Linked DNA regions of Ovis aries. The protein of the gene in region 3 interacts with the protein of the main gene of each other region in a pairwise test. Links are inferred from orthologs where the notes say so. Each region holds a gene or a part of one and is shown on either strand. Other genes may lie near its edges.

Region 1 (3,500 bases), on a different chromosome or scaffold from region 3:
TCTTTTCCTCTTCCATCTGAATCCTGTACTTGATTATATCTAGTAGATTTTATCTCAGTATGTGCTATGGATCCTTCTCATATTGGGAAAGGTGTTATTAACATCCAAAATAATTCATTAATTTTGTTTTTCCTTCTTTTCCCCTCAGTACTGTATTGGCAATTGCTGGAGAAGACTTTTCAATTGTTGCTTCTGACACTAGATTAAGTGAAGGGTTTTCAATTCACACACGGGACAGCCCCAAATGTTACAAACTGTAAGTAAATATTTCTAAGGACATGTTTTCGGCACCTTGTGATGATTTAATGCTGCGAGAGATTCAGGTTTTAAATGGTGTGTTGCATGAAATTTTAGATTGCCTGTTTGGAGCTTAGCTTGTATTTTTGTTAGAAAATTATTTTCTAGTAATTCAGTATGTAGTCTTCATAATATTTGCTATGTCTAGGTACCGACAGTGTTTTTGGTAACTTAAATATTTTTTACTCAGCATCTTATAAAAAATCTCAAATATACAGCAAAGGTAGGATAATTCTCTAGTCAATGCTCATATACTATCATGTAGATCTCATCAGCATTTCATTGTTACTACTTTACCATATGTATTTTAATCTTTCTTTAATATATTGGATTCTTTTTCAATCTGCACCTTAAAAAAAAATAACCTTCAATTTACCCATATCTTAAGCAGCTATGTCCATGGCTCACAGTTCTAGTGGGTGGCTATGTTTTTTCTAAAACGTAAGAAAATAAAGTCATGGGTACTGGGGGTAGGGGGAATCTGCATAAATTACTAACTAAAGGCACCTTACATGTTAACAGTGGTTTGTATTTAACATTTTTGGACACAGTTGGAAATGGTTACTCTTAGGTTACTACACAAACACTTCTTAATCCTGAATTCCAGCAGGAGTGAACTGATGAAGTTGAGGTCCTTTGGGTGGGCCTTGTGGTGCTGCAGGGCGTGGCCCAGCCTACACCGCAACCTAAAGAACAGTAAGCTTGTCTTCATCTTCCCAGTTCCCTTTCTGTCCACTTCCATCTTTTGATACCTTTTTCTCTTCTCTGATTCGTAGCGTGGTGATTTAGTTGTTAAGTCGTGTCTGACTCTTGTGACCCCATGGACTGTAGCCTGCCTGGCTCGTCTGTCCATGGGATTCTCCAGGCAAGAATACTGGAGTGGGTTGCCATTTCCTTCTCCAGGGGGGTCTTCCTGGCCCAGGAATCAAACGCTGGTTTCCAGCATTGCAGGCAGATGAATTACCTACTGAGCTATCAAGGAAGCCCTTGTAGCATACCCATGCAACAATTTTTGTCTTTTAAGATGTAACTTTTATAAAGTGAAAGTAGTAAATGTCATGAATAAAACTTAAATACATAATGTGATAGATACTGTCCTTGTACAAGAGTCTGCTCATCTTGGTAACAGTGTTTCAGCTTGTGTGCCTCCTGAATGAGCACTCTCTCTCTCTTTTTTTTCTAATGAAACACTTCAGGTATATATAGAGAGAACAGTTTTACTTCTGTGTTCCTGCCGTGCATTACAGGCACTGGGTCACACATGAATTGCTTGCATGCTCCTGATCCCATGCCTTTTGGGGCTGACCTGGAGTCTAGCCCACCTCTTCCCCTACTTGTTTGAAACTTATATTTACTCTTTATTCTTTGCAGAAAAACTCTTCTTTATTTAGATACCTGGATATTTGGCAAAAGCATTTTGAAGCTCAGATTTTGTTTTACCCTCCTGGTACTGTCAGCCATTCTCGATAGTACAGGCAGTGAAGCCTTATGGTGTATTGGGGTTTGGCTCAGTGCAGTGAGGTTGGTTATAGAGAGATCAAGAAATGCTGGTGATGACCCTGGAAGTGCCGGTGGTCTCCCCAGTTGGACAGGTATGTTTTGTGTGAATCTTTCATTTCTGAAAGAAAGGGCCTCTGCTGATCATTTCTTGATGAGATGGGTTTAGGTTTCCTTATAAATATCAAGACTTAGGAATTAACTTTTGAGCTGTCAGTTCCGTTGCTCAGTCATGTCCAACTCTTTGCGACCCCATTGACTGCAACATGTCAGGTCTCTGTCCATCACCAACTCCCAGAGCTTGCCCAAACTAATGTCCATCGAGTTGGTGATGCCATCCGACCATCTCATCCTTGTTGTCCCCTTCTCTTCCTGCCTTCAATCTTTCCCAGCATCAGGATCTTTTTCACTGAGTCAGTTCTTCACATCAGGTGGCCAAAGTAATGGAGCTTCAGCTTCAGCATCAGTCCTTCCAATGAATATTCAGGACTGATTTTCTTTAGGATTGACTGGTTGGATCTCCTTGCAGTCCAAGGGACTCTCAAGAGTCTTATCCAACACCACAGTTCAAAAGTATCAGATCTTTGACGTTCAGCTTTCTTTATGGTACAACTCTGTACATGACTACTGGAAAAACCATAGCTTTGACTAGACGGACCTTTGTCGGCAAAGATACACAAAAATTTTATTAAGTACTCTCTGGTGGGCATTTGGGTTGTATTTGTTTTGTTTTAAAGAGTCATTAAAATAATACATATACTTACACGTGAAACTAGAGCTTATCTTCTCGAACTTGCATGAGTATATTTGTAGCAATGGAGTTTTTGAATGAAAGTGATGTGCATTTAAGCTTTTAATAGATGCTGTCGAACAGCCTTTCTAAAGAGTTGGGTCAGTGTACATTCTTTCCCAGTTTCTGAGAGTACCTGATTTTCAAAACCTCACTAGCATTAAGCATTATTATTCTACTAGGCCGAAATCGTCTCTTTTAGATTTTAATTTATGAGTGGCGTGGAGGCTCTTTTATATGTCTATGGTGACTTGTGTCTCTTTTTATATGACTTTCATATAATTTAGGGGCTTCCCTAGTGGCTCAAATGGCAACCCCGTCCAGTACTCTTGCCTGGCAAATCCCATGGATGGAGGAGCCTGGTGGGCTGCAGTCCATGGGGTTGCTAGGAGTCGGACACGACTGAGCGACTTCACTTTCACTTTTCGCTTTCATGTATTGGAGAAGGAAATGGCAACCCACTCCAGTGTTCTTCCTGGAGAATCCCAGGAACGGGGGAGCCTGGTGGGCGGCCGTCTCTGGGGTCGCACAGAGTCGGACACGACTGAAGTGACTCAGCAGCAGCAGCAGCAGCTAGTGGCTCAGATGGTAAAGAATTTGTAGGAGACTGGGTTTGATCCCAGGATCGGGAAGATCCCCTGGAGAAGGGAATGGCTGTCCACTCTAGTATTCTTGCCCGGAGAATTCTATGGACAGAGGAGCCTGGTGGGTGAGTCTGTGGGTTCACAAAGAGTTGAAGGTGACTGAGCCCTGAAAGTTTCACCTTCACGTCGCTTCCCTCCCTCCTTTGTTTTTCGTATTGAGGCATAACTGGCATCTGGGGGCTTCCCAGGTGGTGCAGCAGCGAAGAGTACACCTGCCAGTGCGGGAGGTGCAGGTCTGAGCCCTGGGCCAGGAAGGCCCCTAAAGCAGGGGC
Region 2 (3,500 bases), on a different chromosome or scaffold from region 3:
CTTGACTTACTCTTAGCACCCCTCACTGTCTATTTGTTTTCATACCAGACGACAGTGAAGGAATCAGCCACTGAGGAGAAGCTGACCCCCGTGGTGTTGGCTAAACAGCTGGCCACCCTGAAGCAGCAGCTGGTTGCTTCCCATCTGGAGAAGCTGCTGGGACCAGATGCCGCAATCAACCTTACTGACCCCGATGGAGCTCTGGCTAAGTGGGTGCCAGACTTTGCTGGGAGATCATTGCTAATTGGGGTGTAGAGGGACTCCAGCCAGGTATTGACAGGGCTGCGAAGGGGAGAGGTGGCCTAGCTGTTCCTTAATGCTGACCCTGAGGCAGAAACAAGTGACTGAGCTGACCCACATCCTTCAAGTCGTGATAATATTGCTGGTTTTTTGATCCAGGCGCCTACTGCTGCAGCTGGAAGCAACAAAGAACAGCAAAGGGACTGGTTCAGGGGGCAAGACCACCAGTGGGACCCCCCCAGATAGCAGCTTGGTCACTTATGAACTGCATTCTCGGCCTGAGCAGGACAAGTTCTCTCAAGCTGCCAAAGTATGTTTTTGTGTGTGTTTGTGTATGTGTGTGGATGTATGTAATGTTGGTTAAGGGGCCAGGGAAGATGTGGCTCCGGAGACTTTCCTGCTACCCTCCAAGGAATCATGTCTGGGGAGAGGGTGCTGGGAATGCTTGATTCTTCTTGATGTCTCATTTAAGACTGTGACTAGGGCTGTGTTCCAGAGAAAGAAATCCCTTGGCAGAGTGGTGGGGAGAGGGGAGGGGAGGGCAAGCAGACCAGCAAAGAGCAAGGTTTACCTCCCACTGCAGCAGAAGGGAGGTAGGTGGATGGCAAATATCCCCATTCCTCCCCTAGGTGGCAGAACTCGAGAAGCGCCTGACAGAGCTGGAAGCCACTGTACGCTGTGATCAGGATGCTCAGGTCAGGTGCTCTCTTGTACTTGTTCCAACCCTCACATCCTGAGCCCTAAGGTCCACAGCATTCCACAGAATCCAGGGAGGAGTCAGGAACAGGTTCCAGTTACAGGAGCAGCCAGCAGTTGCCTGCTGGAACCCAAAAGGATGAGAGAAGGTGGTAATCACCTGGAGAGATGAGAATCACTAACTTCTTTGCTTCTTTTCCCCATCAGAATCCCCTTTCAGCAGGTCTGCAGGGAGCCTGCCTCATGGTGAGTGTAAAAGGAACTGGAGTCTTTGGATGACAGAGGGGATATCAGGATTGGGTTTGCTTAGAAAATTATTTTTGGATCTGTAGCTGTTTATTCATTACCTTCAGTGGAATATGAGGTGGCCTTTTCTAGTCTGATTCTGTCTGCTTCATGGCACTTGTCCTGACCCCGCCCCCAGGATACTGTAGAGCTGTTGCAGGCGAAGGTGGGCGCCCTGGACCTTGCAGTTTTGGACCAAGTGGAGGCTCGGTTACAGGTATTAAGTGGAGGCAAATTGGATTACAGGCAGCTAGTGACTTTGGAAGACCTTGATGCCTTTGCTTAAAATCTGTGCTTTCAGAGTGTGCTGGGAAAAGTGAATGAGATTGCCAAGCATAAAGCTTCTGTAGAGGATGCAGATACACAGAGCAAGGTCAGGAAGAGACCTTTCCTTCCATCTTCATACCCTTTCCTGCTCCCTCATGTACTCTTCCTGCTGGAAAGAGCAAAGCATGAGAGCACTGAATCCTCAGGCTACTGTCCTCATAAGCTCTTACCAGCTGAGATAAGGCAGTGCTTCCCTGTTGCCCCAGCTTGCACTTGTCTCACCCTAATGGGGTGTATTTGGCTGAAGTTGGTCACTATGTTGTCCCTCCAGGTGCACCAGCTGTATGAAACCATACAGCGCTGGAGCCCCATTGCCACCTCCCTTCCTGAGCTGGTACAGAGACTTGTCACCATCAAACAGCTACACGAACAAGGTGGGAGGCCAGCCACAAGGGGTGTCAAGAGGAATGGAAAGTGAGCAACTCCTGTTCCCTTCCCTCTGGTCTTGGATTCTAATGCCATGCCTGCTGTTCTGACCTTTCACAGCCATGCAGTTTGGTCAGCTTCTGACACACTTGGATACCACACAGCAGATGATTGCTTGTTCCCTCAAGGACAATGCCACCCTCTTGACTCAGGTGAGTGCCTCCCTTCCCCAGCACACACAGGCAAGGTTCTCCAGCTTCAGCTCCAGAGGGTTCTGCCTTGGCCCATTTGGTGGCACAGTGGTGTGGCAGGGGTTTGGTTTGAGTCTCCATACTGTTTCTTGGTTGCCATGGGACATGTGACAACTTATTTAACCTATGAACCTCCATCTCACCATCTGGCAAATTATACCTACTTCAGAGTTATGTGGATGAAATGAAGTAATATGAGTGAATTGGTAAGAGCTCAGTAAACCTCCATTCTTCCTATAAAACCTACCTTTTCCCTCTGTAGTCTCAGCTGGCTTTTATCCTCCCTGGGTCCTCAACCAGATGTTCCTGAGCACAGGACACTAGACAGAACATGGGCATTGAAATCTGGAGCCAGGCTCCCACCTGGTTTTGCCCCTTCCTTCCTGACGCTGAGCTGTGAGCGTCACCTCTCCATTCTCTAAGCAGTGCCCAGCACAGAGCAAGTCTTCAGGTTATGGCAGAGGCACTGTTCTCAGTGCTGGGGGATGCACTACAGTTGGGATTCTGGCATCACAGGACTGTCAAGATAAATTAAAGTGCTTGGCATGGTATGTTCTTCCTCCAAAGCAGTTTTCTAAAACTTCGGATGAGTGAAACCCTTACTTCAACAAAATCCTGTTTGTCCCTCAGTACATAAAACAGATGAAAGAACTGTTCTGGTTAAAGTCAGGATGGGAATTCTTAAGAGGCCTGCCTGTTTAGCAGATCCCATGCTAGGTCCATGGTGCTCCAAGTCACCTTCCCATTCTGGGGCCCACAAGCTGTTTCCATTTCTTTTTTCTAATTTAGCTTTGTTGTGCAGCTCGTGGGATCTTAGTTCCCCTACCAGGGACTGAACCTGGGCCCCAGCAGTGAAAGTGCAGAGTCCTAACCACTGGACCACCAGGGAACTCTCCTGCATGTCTTTGTCTTCTCTCAGAGAATTTCTTCAGGGCCTCACCCAGGTAAGCACCTGAACCTGACAGTGAAACAGCTCTCTCGCTTTCTAGGTGCAGACGACGATGCGTGGAAACCTGTCCACAATTGAGGGGAACTTTGCCAACATCGATGAACGGATGAAGAAACTGGGAAAGTGAGCACCTTTGGGTGATGGAGGACAGGGGTAATCCCTACCCCTTTGAACTCTATTAATACCTTACACAGGGTTTCTCCTTAATCGTAACTCTTGCGTCCCATTTGACACTGGGGGCAAGGGCTTCTTGCATGTGGGGCTTACACCCCCTCCTCTGAAGAGTAGTGGAAGCTGGGGATATTAAATGGTGGTCTCCTCTTAGGCCACAGGGATGAGGACATGGCCCAGCCACATGCCAGCTCCTGCCCAATACTGCTTTGCCT
Region 3 (4,119 bases):
CTGAAGCAACAGACAGGTGAAGAGTCCTCAGAGGTGACCGGGAGTGAGAAGGAGGGGATGGTCAATTACCAGGGAACCATGCCACGGAGAGATCCAATTGGAAGAAAGGTCAATGGAGCAGAACAGAGGGCAGACCTGGGAAAGTCTAAGGTGGGGTGGGGGTGGCCAGAGGAAGCTGCCACTTCCTTCTCTTTGGAGAAGTTGGCTAGGATGGGAAGGAGAGGATGTGGAATTTAGAACAGGAGAGATCTGCACATGCTGGGTCAATAGAGGAACAGGAACAACTGAAGCATTGAGAGGCAAGAGAAGGAAGACCCCAAGGATGGGTGGCCTGAGGTTGGCAGAGCTGAGCCCTGGAAGAATGCCAGGCTCTTGGCTAGAGAGTCCTGGCCTCTACCTTCCTTGATTAAGGAAGACACCTTGGAGGAGGAATCTCCTGGGTGCCCTCTCCCTGGCAGGGGTCAGGACTGCTGGCCAAAGGGCAGAGTGGACATTAATGCTGCCTGTGGGTAGCTCCGCTGAGGAAATGGAGATGGACGAGTGTGGAGTGGAGGGAACTGGGAGATGTAGCCAGACGTCCCCTTCTCCAGGCTACTCAGCAAAGAGCTGGGCACACAATCTGCCCTGAGGATCAGCTGCCCAGTGGGTAAAGAAGGAGGGAGTGAGACGGGCTCCACCTGCATGCTGAGCTGCTGGAAGGTGAGATGGCAAAGGGCACTGAAGGTCGATTCCATGGTTGAGGGAGACCTTCATGTGCTCTGTGCTTAGTTGTGTTGGACTCTGAGACCCTTTGGACTGTAGCCCGCCAGGCTCCTCTGTCCGTGGGAATTCTCCAGGCAAGAATACTGGAGTGGGTTACCATTTCCTTCTCCAGGGGATCATCCCTACCCAGGGCTCATCCCAACCCAGGGATCGAACCTGTGTCTCCTGCATTGCAGGCAGATTCTATATGCGCTGAGCCATCAGGGAAGCCCTGAGAAGACTTTTAAGGAGGTCAGCTAAGCCTGAGGGGCAGGGACAGAAGGACACATTATTTCCTGGCTTTCAGGAAGGGAAGTTGGGAGGCAGGAAGATATCAGGAAGAAAGAGGAAGGGTGTGTGCAAGATCCTGGAGAGGAAAAAGTAGCTGAATTAGCAGACTGTCAGATGTGAGAGTCAAAAGCATCAAGGACTTTCAAACAGCCCAAGACTGGAGACACAAAAACCTAGGTCTTAGGACGGGGTGATGGGGGCACAGCGTGGTTATGACCAAAAGCTAGTTCAGAGCCCGGCTGCACCACTTAGTAGATGTGCAACCCTGGGAGAATGACTTTGTCTCTAAGCCCCAGTATCTCCATCTTTGAAATGGGAGAACTCTACCTTAATAGGGTTGATGTAAAGTTTGGATGACACATATACACAACATTAAGAACAATACTGACATATACAAAGAACCCTGCCCCTCCCCCCCGCAAATTTAATGTTTCAGTGACCTATATCCAGCGGTGGGTGAACGCAGGGGCAGGCTGCAGGAGAGCCCCATCAGCCTCTCCAGGTTTAGGCCAGGGTGGCAGAGGTGCAGCCCTCTTCCCCCAGACCAGGGTTGCTGCAATGATTGGGGAATAGACTTGACAACTGCCCAGAGACCACTGCTTGGGGAAACATAGTCTTCGTCTCCCTGAGAGAGGGGGCAGAAGGTCTGGGAGGGTGGACAGGGGCTGGACCTCCCCTGAGCAGTCACACATCCTAGGTTTTGCAGGTCAACCCAGATTTCAAAGCCTCTGTCCCTTGGTGCCCAGAGGGAAAGCAGAACGCATTACCCCCACATCCCTTAAGTCCAGTCACTGCAAATACAGGGCCCCATTCTCAGACTGCATTCCTCACAAATGACTCTTTGGCCAAGGAGACGGCTACTTTTATCAAGGGCACAGGGAACAGCCTGGGCCAGCAGAGTTGCTGGCTCAGCCTCAGGAGGACAGAAAGCCAGAGAAGGCGAAAGGGCAGGTGTGGCCAGGACCCCCAACCTTGAGACAAATGTGTGTGTGTGTGGGGGGGGGGGGTGCTGATGACAAATGGTACTTGAGAATTTAAATACAGCTTCCTCTTTAAAATCTGCCAGGACCAGGCCCTTCACTGCGCCAGAGTTCCGCTCTAACTCACAACAGGGGGCTGACAGAGGTGGCTTCGGGCTGGCCCTCCCAGCTGGGAACCCCTCCCCACCAGGCTGCAGCTGTCAAAGGCTCAATTTCCCCACTGCCCAGGGGGACGCCGGCCCAGGCCCTCGTTCCTAACCTGCCGCTAGCCCACCCCATCCCGGCCCTGCGAAGGGGAAAGCCAACTGCCCAGAGGACCTACGCGGTGGGAGGGCTCGAAACTGCAGCGTTCGAGGGAGCCTTGCGGACCCGGGGACTTCGGCCCGGGGAGGGGGCGGCGCTGACCGGCACGCGGTTCCCTGGCAATCTCCGGCTTTCCCGGGCCATTGAAATCGGAAAGGGGGTCCCGAGGCTGCTCGCATTCCAGGGGACATGTCGCCCCCATGCTCTGATCGGCTCTGGCTGGACAGCGTGGGGGGCGGGGGTGGGGGCGGGATAGCGCAGGGCTGGGTCTCCCGGGCCCGGCCCTCCCCGCGCCCCACCTCGGGATTGGGCAGGGGGATCCCGGACGCGACACCCCGAACGACGGGCTGGGCGGAACCCGAGCGCCCAGCCCTCCCTCTTCCCGCCCGAGCCCCGGACTCACCGGCCTGGCGGAGGCAGGATCCCGGCGTCGCCGCAGCGCCAGGGGCTCGGCCCGGCCCGGCCCGCCGGCGGGAGGCAGCTCCACGCCACCGCCTCCTTGGCCCGCCCCGCTCCCGCCCCGCTCCGGCCCCTCCCGCACACTTTCCACAGGAAATGATTAACTCGGGCCGCGGCGCGTTCCCATGGCAACCGGCTCAGACCCTGGCGGGGGGCGGCGGCACGCGCGCGCGCTCCCGCGTGCACACACACAGAGACTCACACTCTCACGCGGGGCCGCCGGCTCTGCTCAGACCTTTCTTCTGGGTCTCCCGGCGCTCCGCACACGCCCGTGCACACGTGCGCGCTCACCCCAGACGCACACAAGCCGTCCTACGTGCTCACATACAATACACGCGGCTCTCACAGGTTTGCACACACGCTCTAGTGAGTCCACATGAACACATTCACAGTTCCCACACACATCCCGACGTTCGTTCCTACGTGTATGCTTTGCACTTAAACTGACATTCTCATCCACACCTCCTCAAACCCTAGTACAAAACTTTTGCACACACTAGTTACTACTACTAACACACAATTCTCACAAGTGCTCCCTTGCCACGCTTCACAGTTTCTCACAATCTGTAGTATACTTTTTTCTAAAACTTTCTAGCACACACACACTAGCTAGTATGTGTGCACACTTGCACATTCTCACACACTTCCAATGTGCACTCACATTCCTGTACGGAGTTCAGACTTTCCCCCTTGCTTTCCCACAAATGCTGTACATGCTTCTTCAGGTACTCTTGAACTCTTCCTCACATTTCACAGAGCAACATTCCTATGCTGCTAACCCCAGTACAGACTTTCATGGGCTTCCCAGGTGGCTCAGCTGGTGAAGAATCCACCTGCCAAGGCAAGAGACTTGGGTTCGATCCCAGGTCCAGGAAGAGCCCCTGGAGGAGGAGATGGCAACCCACTTCAGTATTCTTGCCTGGGAAACCCCGCGGACAGACGAGCCTGGCGGGTTACACTCCATGGGATTGCAAAAGAGTCAGACTTGACTTAGCAACTAAACAACACACGCTTTAGTGAGCACACGTGCCCATGCATGCACTGTCACACATCAGCACACGCGTTTTCACACGTGCATTCTCACTAGCTCTAGTAGGAGCACACAGGCCAGGTTGCCTCCCTAGCCAGGGCACCACCTGCTGCCCCCTGCTCCTGCCTGGCCCTGTTCCCCTCTCATACCCCACCAAGAGATAGATGTCTTGCAGAGCAGGGAAGCTGTTTGGGATTTTTAAAGGTAAAATATTCCTTTAATCTCCAGTGAAAACACATTCAGAATGCCAGCTTGGAGCAGACAGCAGCTCCTGGTGTAGGCCCAGACGGCCTTCCTCAGAGGATGTCCCAGAAG
Region 4 (3,500 bases), on a different chromosome or scaffold from region 3:
TGTGAATGACAGAGATAAAAATCCTTGCCTGTTACAAATTTGTTTTTATTGCAGCAGGATGGACCAACTAAACAAGTAAAATATTACTACCATTTCCAGTTTGCCAATTAGGAGACTTAGGCAAGGAGAGACGACTGAGTGATGGCTCAGCGTCATCTGCATGATTACTGCAGAGACGACATTCAGTCAGCCCACATTCAGCAACCACTGGACCCTCAGCTCTTCTCCTGCTCCAGGCCGTCCTTCCCTCAAACAAGCCCTCTTTCGTCTCTGCTCCCTAGCCAACAACTCAGGTTTTATCAGAAAGATTCCAGACTGTAATCTTCTCTTCATGAGATGAACCAAGATTCTTTGGCTCAGAAACCTTTTTCCCTTTACTTCTCCTCTGATAATTATCTTCAAATGATCCACATGGATAAAAGAATGAGGCTTTTAGAACACTTAGTCTGCAAGGGCCTCACATGTTTTATTTTAAAATTCAAGTCAGTTTGGTTCTAAGTAAAAATATGTTAGGAAGACATGTTATCAAATTTGGGGGATGGTGATGAACTATTTTGATCCCCAATTTCAAAGTACAAAATATAAAGAAAATCATCTATAGTGCTAATATGTACTCTTGAGAAAAAGAAAGAAGGGAAAAAAACTTTTTTTAAATCAACAAACCTGTTCTGTTAAGTGGTAGGCTACTTTTACAATGACTATTTTACTTCAGATTTTTAAGTTCTCACCTTTCTGGAGTAAGTCACACATTTCTATTAATTCCTACATAAAATTTAGCAACTAAAACTTCAGTGTTTAAAAAATACTAAATAGTAATAAAATAATAATGATGTCATGTTAACATAAGAAGATTTGCTCATGATTATAGAATTTCACTTTTTCTAAAGTAGTGGCTAAGTTAGGGTCTGATCCAAGGGCTACTGCTGACCCACATGTAGATATCTTTTTTTTTTAAGTATTAACTACCAAAAGTGGGTAAAATCTATTAATTACTTTGGGCTTGAATTGGTAATTTATCTCCGTGACATACCTCACTGCATCTTACTAGATTCAAACTACTCTCTCCATTAATGGGGTCTTGCCAAGAGTTGCACTAGCAAAAGCAAGCACCTATCACCTTCACACTCCAACCAACTCCTGGCCTTTGTGCACGCCACTCTCTCTGCCTAACGGGCCTTCCTCAGCTTCCTCCTATACCTGGTTAATTCTCAACTCTGTTTAAGTATTCAAGTTTACCTATGCCAGGAAGGAGGCTTCCTAAGGCTTGAACAGACTCCCCTCCCATGCAACCCCATGACACTCTGTGCCACACCCCGCCTGTCCCCCATCCTAACACACTCAACTTGACACACTACAGTAAATCTGCCTGCTCTCATTTGTCCCCCTCTCTAGATGATATTCTATGTGAGACAGAGACACATTTATTGTCCCAGTGCCATATGTATTGTCCCAGACGCATGTATTCTCCCAGTGCCTAAAAAACAATAGGATGCGAAGGATGGAGGGAGGGAAGGAGGAACAGAGGGGTTGATTAAATAATCAATGGGGTTAAACAGAAAGAAAAGTGGCAACGAACTGGGGTGGGAAGGCAAAACAAGAAAGCAAGGAAAAGAAAAGGGGAGGAGGCTTTTGCTACCACTGCCGCCACTTCAAGAGAATGCACAGACCCAGTGAAGAATCCCTGCCAGAGCAAGTCACTGCTATTAATGCAACAGAAAAGAAAACGCATAGCCACTTTGGTGAAGACAATAAAATACCAAACGATTTGAAGTTTATGAAGTTCAGTCTTGTGTGTTAACTTTGTAAGTATGTAACTTGATCATGAAAAAATAAATTTTTCCTTTAAGTCAATTTTAAAGGTTTACTCCATTCTTAAATAGGCCTTTTTTAGACTGTCTGAAATAAAACTTCTTTCCAAAATAATTTAAAATGTGGTTTAATGCAGAAATATAAACTTTAATATATGCATTTTTATTTAATAGCTAAAGGATTTATAAATAAAGCAAAAGCCTAAACGAAAGATACTTTTAAACTCAAAGATGATAAACTGTAAAGAGCATTTTATTTAGCTGAATGAAAGTAAGGCTAGTAGAGCTTATCGATATAAAAGGACTGAAATTCACCGCTATGCCTTAAACTTATTTGAGATAAAAGTTTATAATTATTACTCTTTATATGCAGCACAAAAAAATATAAATTATTTACTCATATAAGAGTTCCACAACAACATCCAGATTCAACTCTTTCCTGGGAGATAATGTTAGATGTTTTCATTCTTTTTAATATTTTTCACTTTTAATTTAACCTCTTACCCTAAATGCAGGATTGGCTCCATGCTCCAATAAGCATTTCACGGTACCTGCACACAAGTTATATGCAGCAATATGCAGAGCTGTTCCAAAATTAAAGTCGCTGCAAGTGGCATCCACATCTGTAATTGAACATCACAAGTGTATTAACAAAAATTTTAGTTAATCTATTATAACGTGAAAAGAGGCAGGTTGGGTTGGATTTATTTGGGGGAATGGGGTATAAGCTATTGACGAGACTTAAACCAACCCACTAGAAGGACCATTCTCACAATGGAATAAAATCTGCATATTACAATCTGGTTAACTAATTTTTTTCTTAGTATAATAAAATTTCACTATCAAATAGACTCATGTTATGTGTTTTCTAACCATCACAAACTAAAGTATACTTAAAAGCAATTAATGGCAATAATTCGTATTTATAAAAGTAACTATCTTAACACACTCTTTCACTAAACCTCTTGCATATTGGCCACAACAATGATAATGTAGCATGGTTTAGTCAGGGACTAGCAAACTGTGGCTCATGGCCAAATCCAACTCATCATGTTTTCATAAATAAAGTTTTATTGGAACACAGCCACTTGCATTCATTTATATATTCTCTGTGGCTACTTTCACACCACTCTGTAGAATCAAGTAGTTTCAACAGGGACCACGTGGTCCACAAAGCCTAAAATATTTACTATCTGCCTCTTCATAGAAAAAAGAAGGTAAAACAACGGAGACTTCTCAAACCCGGAATAAATTAAAGTGTAATTAAACATATGCTACATGCTGTATTCATTCACAATACTTTATGAAGAATTTGTATGTCACAGTAAGAATGAGAATCTTGCAATTCTAAGAACATTTTAAGAACTTTCAACAAATCATCAGGATGTAATACATAAATACAAGATATACTCCAGATTTGGATATTCCATTTCGACTGTTTTTTATAACATGGGTTTAATATACCTCTGGTTCTGCTAATCCTGCCTGAATCAAATGACTGCTTCACCACCTTACATGCCCTACCCACACTGCAAACAAACCAAGACACACTCAGAACACTGTCCTCAGTTATGAAAGACATGGGGTCGCACAGAGTCGGACACGAGTGAAGCGACTTAGCAGCAGCAGCCGCAGTACCATCAAGAGAGGCGTTCTTCCTAACATCATTCAAAAAGTGAAAACATAAACAGG
Region 5 (2,396 bases), on a different chromosome or scaffold from region 3:
GATCTTCTCGGCAAACACATGATCGTACACGAAGTGCCTGGGGGAAATATTGAAAGACTCTTACACAGGCCGACTGAGAAGGCAAAGAGGGAGGCTGATGATTTTTTTCCAACTACATATTTTTGAGGAGCTGTGATATGACTGATTTTTTGCCTATTCCACCCTAGAGCAGCGGCTAAAACGAATGTGTGAGGCTGACAACACATGGAGGAACACACATCTTGTGTAATTAATTTTTTTTTAAAACATTAAAAATGCTATAGAACATCCATTCCCAAAGACCAGTAGTATGACTGAGACTGTTCAAGGAGATCAGAACAGCCAGTGGTGCTCAATCTTGGCTGCAGATTAGAATCACCTGGGCAGTCCTAAAACATACTGACGCCTGGGTCCCACCCCCACAGATGCTGACCTAGCTGGTCTGCCACATGAACTAGAGGGTGTGTATTTTTTAAAGCTCTTCCTATGATTCATAATATGCAGCTAAGACTGAGAACCATTGCTGCGGTGATTTTAAACCAAGAACAGACAGACATCAGAATCACCTGAATAGCCTTTCACTCATACCTAGAGATTCTGATTAGGCCTGATGGCGATCTGAACAGTCAAGTTGAGGCCCACCAAATGCACGAGCTGGTCTCTCTCCTGGTCAGAGTCCTGGGCAACTTGTAACTGTACTTATTTGCTACCTGCCTCTTCCTGAGACTGAAAGCTCCATGAGGGCAGAAACTGTGTCTGTTTTGCTCACCACTCCTCACATCTGGCATAGCACCTGCCTTACCACAGGTGTTCAAGAAATAGTTCTTAAATGAAGATTCAATCTCCAAAGTCTAAATTGTAAAAGGCTTTTCTTCAGGAAAAAAAAAAAAAAAAAAAAAGCCTTCTGTTTGCCTGGATTTTGTTTTACTGAAATTTCAATTGGACTAAACAACAACAACAACAACAAAAACTATCACATGTATGTTTAAGTGGTTTTGTTCAAACCACTGGTGGTCTAATAGCCAAGCGGCATTTCCTAAAAGGGTACTTTTAATCTACTGGGATCCAGAATGTGCCAATGACACGAGATGTTCTCCTGCTTGCAAATGGAAGGTGGGCTCTTACTGGCGGAGGTCATACAGCTCTTTCAAAGACGAGAAGCTGGGGGCCGATTTCTCCTGGTCATGCCTCCCCTGGCTCCTTCTCCTTTGGCTGGATGATTTCAGCTCCTCCACTTGGCTCTGGAGGTGATCAATGTTCATTTGCAGGCATTCAATCGTTTCAGTCAGACTGTGAGGAACAGACAGAAGCCAATTGCAGCTTGTCATATTAAATTAAAGGCATAAGCAGTGAGGAGAGCTTAGTTGGCAACCACTCAAACTGGGCTTTTGTAATTGGAAAAGACTTCTATTTAATCTCTATTCTCCATAGAGAATTAAATTAAAGCTTACCCCACACTGACCTGAACCCACTACAGCCATGTTCTATTCTAGTTTATACTAAATGACTTCCCCTAGGGCTTCTTCAACAGATTCTAAAGAATTTACCTCAGAATCTTTTGCTGTGAGGCCTTGCTGTCAGCAACGAGCTTTTGATTTGTTTCTTCCAGTTCCCTCGCTGTGACGTCTAATTGCTCATAAACCTTTGCATGCTGTTCATTCATCTGCCGCAGAAGCTCCACCTGCTTGGTCAGATACTGGAAGAGATAATTGTGACCAGGTTACACATTAAACATGTGGGATACCTGCAGTATTCCAGGTATAATACAGAATGCATCCTGCAATTCACTTCAATTCTGACACCACCTGGAGTGATAAGGGCTCAGTTCCACAAAACTGCCCCCAATTCAGGTACCAGAGGTAAGTCCTAGGGACCACCCGTCCTTTCAACCAAACAACTATAAATTAGGGAATTCCCATGACCTCCTCTCACATTCAATAATCTGCTAAAACAACACACAGAGCTTGGGAAAGGGATTTACTTACAGTTTTATTCTCAGATGCACCACCCTCCCTGGAAACCTCTTGGTCTCCTTTTAGAGTTTTACTGAAGCTTCATGGCACAGGCATGATTAATTAAATCATGGGCCACTGGTGAACAAACTTGATTCCAGTCCCTGACCCCTCTGCAGAGGCTGGCAACGGGGCTGAAAGTTCTAACCCTCTAATCATGTGGTCGGCTCCTCTGGTGAGCAGTCTCATTCTATCATTCAGGAAATTCCGAGGGATTCAGGACATGGGGACAAAGGTCGAATATATAGTTTTCATTATACCACAATACCACAAGTTTATTTTACGAAATGAAGAACTTCAAATCTCAGTTAAACTACTTTTCTTAAAAGGAGCTGAGTACAGGCCGTCCTTTATATGTTTAGTTCCCCTAAAGCTCACCAATACAGTTTAGGCTGGTCTACTTTT
Region 6 (3,500 bases), on a different chromosome or scaffold from region 3:
TCAGAAATGTATTGTCTGTATGAAACATGCACTTCTGTAGTATTCCCAGTACTGTAAGAAATATTGGAACCCAATCTGAGGGAAGCAGAAGTTGAAAGAAAAAAAAAAAAAACCAACCCTGATTTATCATGGTGGAAATGCTCAAAGAATGCTATAGCTCTTTCTGGAAAAATTATTAGAGTTTTATTACTCTTTATTAGAAATATATCTCTTTATTAGAAATATAAAGATATCTAACTTTCTTGAGGACTAATTTTAAATGTGTTAATATTATTCTTAGATTATGTTTTTCCACTAATTAAGTTGGGAGTGTCTCAAAAGCAGAATTCTTGAAAAACAAAACAAAACAAAACAAAAACAGTGTAAGTATACTCCCTGCTGGAATCAATGTACTTATAAAGAATTCTAAGATGTTAGGAGTGAATCTTGTGTGTGCCTATTAAGTAGATGATAATTACGAAGCACAGGACTGAAGCCAGACTACTAGAGGAGCAGACTGGTCACACAGTGAGTGTAGGCACAACAGCCCATGAGAAACCTACCATTGTGTTGTGCTGAGAAGTGGGAGTCCTATGGCCACAAGTCTCTTGCGTCAGCAGAGAAACTGGCTGAAATTCCTCAGAGTGAGGCTTGTTGGGAAAACTCACATGCAAGGGAAGGTGAAAGGCTGGGAGCCCGTCACTCTCCTCTTCTTCCACTTTCTGTCTGCTTGTCACCATGGCTACCTCTCCATCTGCTTCCCCATACGGAGAGGCTGGTCGCTTGGAAGACATCCTGGAAGGAACAAAAGAGGAGAAAATAATGAAACCTCCACATAAATCCTTAATGCCGTCATTGTGTGGTTAGGGGCCATTGTAACAGAAATGCCTTTTTGTGCTGGCAGAGAGCAGGAAACCATCCAAATACCACTGCAAAGCACACACAATCAGAAACAATGGCCAAGCAGGTAGCAACAGAACAGTGCTTGTTTGTTGTGAGAATAATACACTAATATAGCACTCTCTTGTATTCTGGCTTCTTAAACAAGAGAATTCACCTAAGAACACTGCATAATGAAAGACCATTCCATTTTAAAGGAAAGAAAAATACCCATCTCATTTTACACGTTGATAGACCTTATTGAAGACAGAACATCCATGAATAGCAAATCCTGTTGGCAGTTAAAGGAAGGGAAATAACTAAAAAATTTTTCACCAAAAAATAAACAAAGTAAATGAATGACTGTCATTAAAAAAACTGCATTAAAAGTAAGATTATTGTAAAATGTAGGAATATTGGTTATTGGCAAACCTCAGGTCACAGAACAAAAAGTTTGATATTTGTTTAAAGCTTATTAAGAATTGAAGAAATTCTACAATCACTGTTAATCCTCAAATATTTAAGGACTTTTCTCTCTCATATCCCCAAATCACCCAATTTTGGCTTTTAGTTCTAATATAAAATTTGTAGGTAGTTAAAAAAAATGATAAGAATAGAAAAATATTTCAATTTTATTTCCACAGTTTCATGAAATATTTAGCTGTAGATTCTCAGACTTATTTCTTCCTTAGAATACCTAAGCAAAGAAAAAATAAATTAAATAAGCATGTTTTGTTTTGACAAGCTAATGCCTATATGACAATACACTTAGATTTTTTTTTTGTACTTGAGTCTGATTGAGAATGTTATCGGAGGTTAAAAATAAATGGCAAATATGTTTAGTGAAACATAAGACATATTTTCTTTTCATTAAATTTTTCATGGAAGCAGAATAGAGTTAAATTTTTTAATTAAAAAAATGTCTGGTATTTACAACTTGATTTGACCTTGAAAAACACTCTAATTTTTGTTCAACAAAGAGTGTCTACAAAATCATCCATTCTTATTCTATACCACTGATACAGGGGACAAGAAAGTATGAACTAACTACCACATCACTTCATTCATATATATCACTGATTTTTAAAGTTAAAATGTACTACCAAATGAGAGGGCTCTAACCTCTGTTGAGTGATGCTATTCTTAGTGTTAGAAGTTTTGAAAGACAAATGTATTTAAATGCTGGATATATTCTGTGAAGATAAAATAGCAGAGTAGAAAAAAATAAAGGCTGTGGAATCAGACAAACACAAAATAAAACACTGATTCTGCTACTTGCTAGCTGTGAGACTTACTTTAATCTCTATTTCAGTTTACTCATCTTTAAAGTGAGATGAAATATCTACCTGTAATACTTTGAGAATGAACTATGTTCCACATGAAAAATGACTTACAGAGCATTTTGCTCAGAGTAGACACTCAATTAAAAAATACTGCTGTTTATTTCACTACCTTTAAAACTACAGTGTGACCCACCACCGTTAAAAACACAAAAACAGCAGCAGCAACAACAACTCAAAAATGACAATGCAGATTGCATTCTAAGAGTTAAACTGTAAAATCAACATTGGATACACAGTCTCCAATAGAGAAACGTTCCCTGGTTAGTCATACTTGACAATAAACTGATCAAATGAGTTATCAAGTGTTAAAGAAAAAATGTTATTAGCAGAAGTCTTGATCAGCAGAAGAACACAGAAAAGAAAGGAAATAGTAGTGGTTACCAAGCACTGTTTAAAAACAGAAACAGACTGGGCCAGTGCATTTCAGGGATCTTTAACCATTTCTGATCTCATTACTAAGGTTTACCCCAAGTATACTCTAAGTATGGAGAAAGAGCAAGGGCCTGGGATTAACAGAAAAGACTGAGTCTCATGACCCAGAGGGATGTTGTGGGGAGGGAGGTGGGAGGGGGGTTCATGTTTGGGATCGCATGTACATCCGTGGTGGATTCATGTCAATGTATGGCAAAACCAATACAGTATTGTAAAGTAAAATAAAGTAAAAATAAAAATAAAAAAGAAGTGAAGTGAGAGTCACTCAGTCGCGTCTGACTCTGTGACCCCATGGACTATACAATCCATGGAATTCTCCAGGCTAGAATACTGGAGTGGGTAGCGTTTCCCTTCTCCAAGGATCTTCCCAACCCAGGGATCAAACCCAGGTCTCCCGCATTGCAGGCAGATTCTTTGCCAGCTAAGCCACAAGGGAAGCACAAGAATACCGGAGTGGGTAGTCTATCCCTTCTCATCTAGGAATCAAACCCGTTTTTCCTGCATTGCAGGTGGATTCTTTACCAACTGAGCTATCAGGGAAGCTCTTAGTCTCATTGGCAACACTTTATCTATCCCCAAATTGACAGATTAAACTTTATATGATAACTCAACACTAGAGATATTTAACTCCCACTGTTTTGTTTCCATGCTCTCCTAGTAAACTGCTTTTTTGAAAAAATTCATTTTTTTAATTGAAAGATAATTGCTTTATGATATTATATTGGTTTCTGCCATACATCAACATGAATCAGTCATAGGGATATGTAGCTCCTTCCCTCTCGAAACTCCCTCCCACCTCGCACCTCATCCCACCCCTCTAGGTTGTCACAAAGCATGGAATTTGAGCTCCCTGTGTCCAAGCAAACT

The links.
Region 1: the proteins of KIFC3 (region 3) and PSMB1 interact in binary tests that used the Homo sapiens proteins (3 or more experiments, as listed by UniProt). The two-hybrid records come from large-scale screens. The link is inferred for Ovis aries from reciprocal best matches to the Homo sapiens genes KIFC3 and PSMB1.
Region 2: the proteins of KIFC3 (region 3) and DCTN2 interact in binary tests that used the Homo sapiens proteins (3 or more experiments, as listed by UniProt). The two-hybrid records come from large-scale screens. The link is inferred for Ovis aries from reciprocal best matches to the Homo sapiens genes KIFC3 and DCTN2.
Region 4: the proteins of KIFC3 (region 3) and CLIP4 interact in binary tests that used the Homo sapiens proteins (3 or more experiments, as listed by UniProt). The two-hybrid records come from large-scale screens. The link is inferred for Ovis aries from reciprocal best matches to the Homo sapiens genes KIFC3 and CLIP4.
Region 5: the proteins of KIFC3 (region 3) and CDR2 interact in binary tests that used the Homo sapiens proteins (3 or more experiments, as listed by UniProt). The two-hybrid records come from large-scale screens. The link is inferred for Ovis aries from reciprocal best matches to the Homo sapiens genes KIFC3 and CDR2.
Region 6: the proteins of KIFC3 (region 3) and SOX5 interact in binary tests that used the Homo sapiens proteins (3 or more experiments, as listed by UniProt). The two-hybrid records come from large-scale screens. The link is inferred for Ovis aries from reciprocal best matches to the Homo sapiens genes KIFC3 and SOX5.

The regions. Positions count from the first base shown.
Region 1 is NC_056061.1:91,728,220-91,731,719, reverse strand, and holds part of PSMB1 (proteasome subunit beta type-1), read left to right. Parts: intron 1-148; coding exon 149-256; intron 257-3,500. UniProt on the Homo sapiens protein: Non-catalytic component of the 20S core proteasome complex involved in the proteolytic degradation of most intracellular proteins. This complex plays numerous essential roles within the cell by associating with different regulatory particles.
Region 2 is NC_056056.1:162,121,317-162,124,816, forward strand, and holds part of DCTN2 (dynactin subunit 2), read left to right. Parts: intron 1-48; coding exon 49-209; intron 210-399; coding exon 400-550; intron 551-869; coding exon 870-935; intron 936-1,143; coding exon 1,144-1,182; intron 1,183-1,360; coding exon 1,361-1,438; intron 1,439-1,522; coding exon 1,523-1,594; intron 1,595-1,819; coding exon 1,820-1,922; intron 1,923-2,034; coding exon 2,035-2,126; intron 2,127-3,154; coding exon 3,155-3,237; coding exon of another isoform or gene 3,238-3,241; exon of another isoform or gene 3,242-3,439; coding exon of another isoform or gene 3,440-3,452; exon of another isoform or gene 3,453-3,500. UniProt on the Homo sapiens protein: Part of the dynactin complex that activates the molecular motor dynein for ultra-processive transport along microtubules. In the dynactin soulder domain, binds the ACTR1A filament and acts as a molecular ruler to determine the length.
Region 3 is NC_056067.1:25,344,597-25,348,715, forward strand, and holds the start of KIFC3 (kinesin-like protein KIFC3), read right to left. Parts: upstream 2,801-4,119; 5' UTR 2,518-2,800; coding exon of another isoform or gene 2,507-2,517; coding exon 2,335-2,506; intron 1-2,334. UniProt on the Homo sapiens protein: Minus-end microtubule-dependent motor protein. Involved in apically targeted transport. Required for zonula adherens maintenance.
Region 4 is NC_056056.1:35,969,834-35,973,333, reverse strand, and holds part of CLIP4 (CAP-Gly domain-containing linker protein 4), read right to left. Parts: intron 2,432-3,500; coding exon 2,313-2,431; intron 1-2,312.
Region 5 is NC_056077.1:20,559,589-20,561,984, forward strand, and holds part of CDR2 (cerebellar degeneration-related protein 2), read right to left. Parts: intron 1,676-2,396; coding exon 1,527-1,675; intron 1,270-1,526; coding exon 1,105-1,269; intron 38-1,104; coding exon 1-37.
Region 6 is NC_056056.1:191,789,905-191,793,404, reverse strand, and holds part of SOX5 (transcription factor SOX-5), read right to left. Parts: intron 775-3,500; coding exon 543-774; intron 1-542.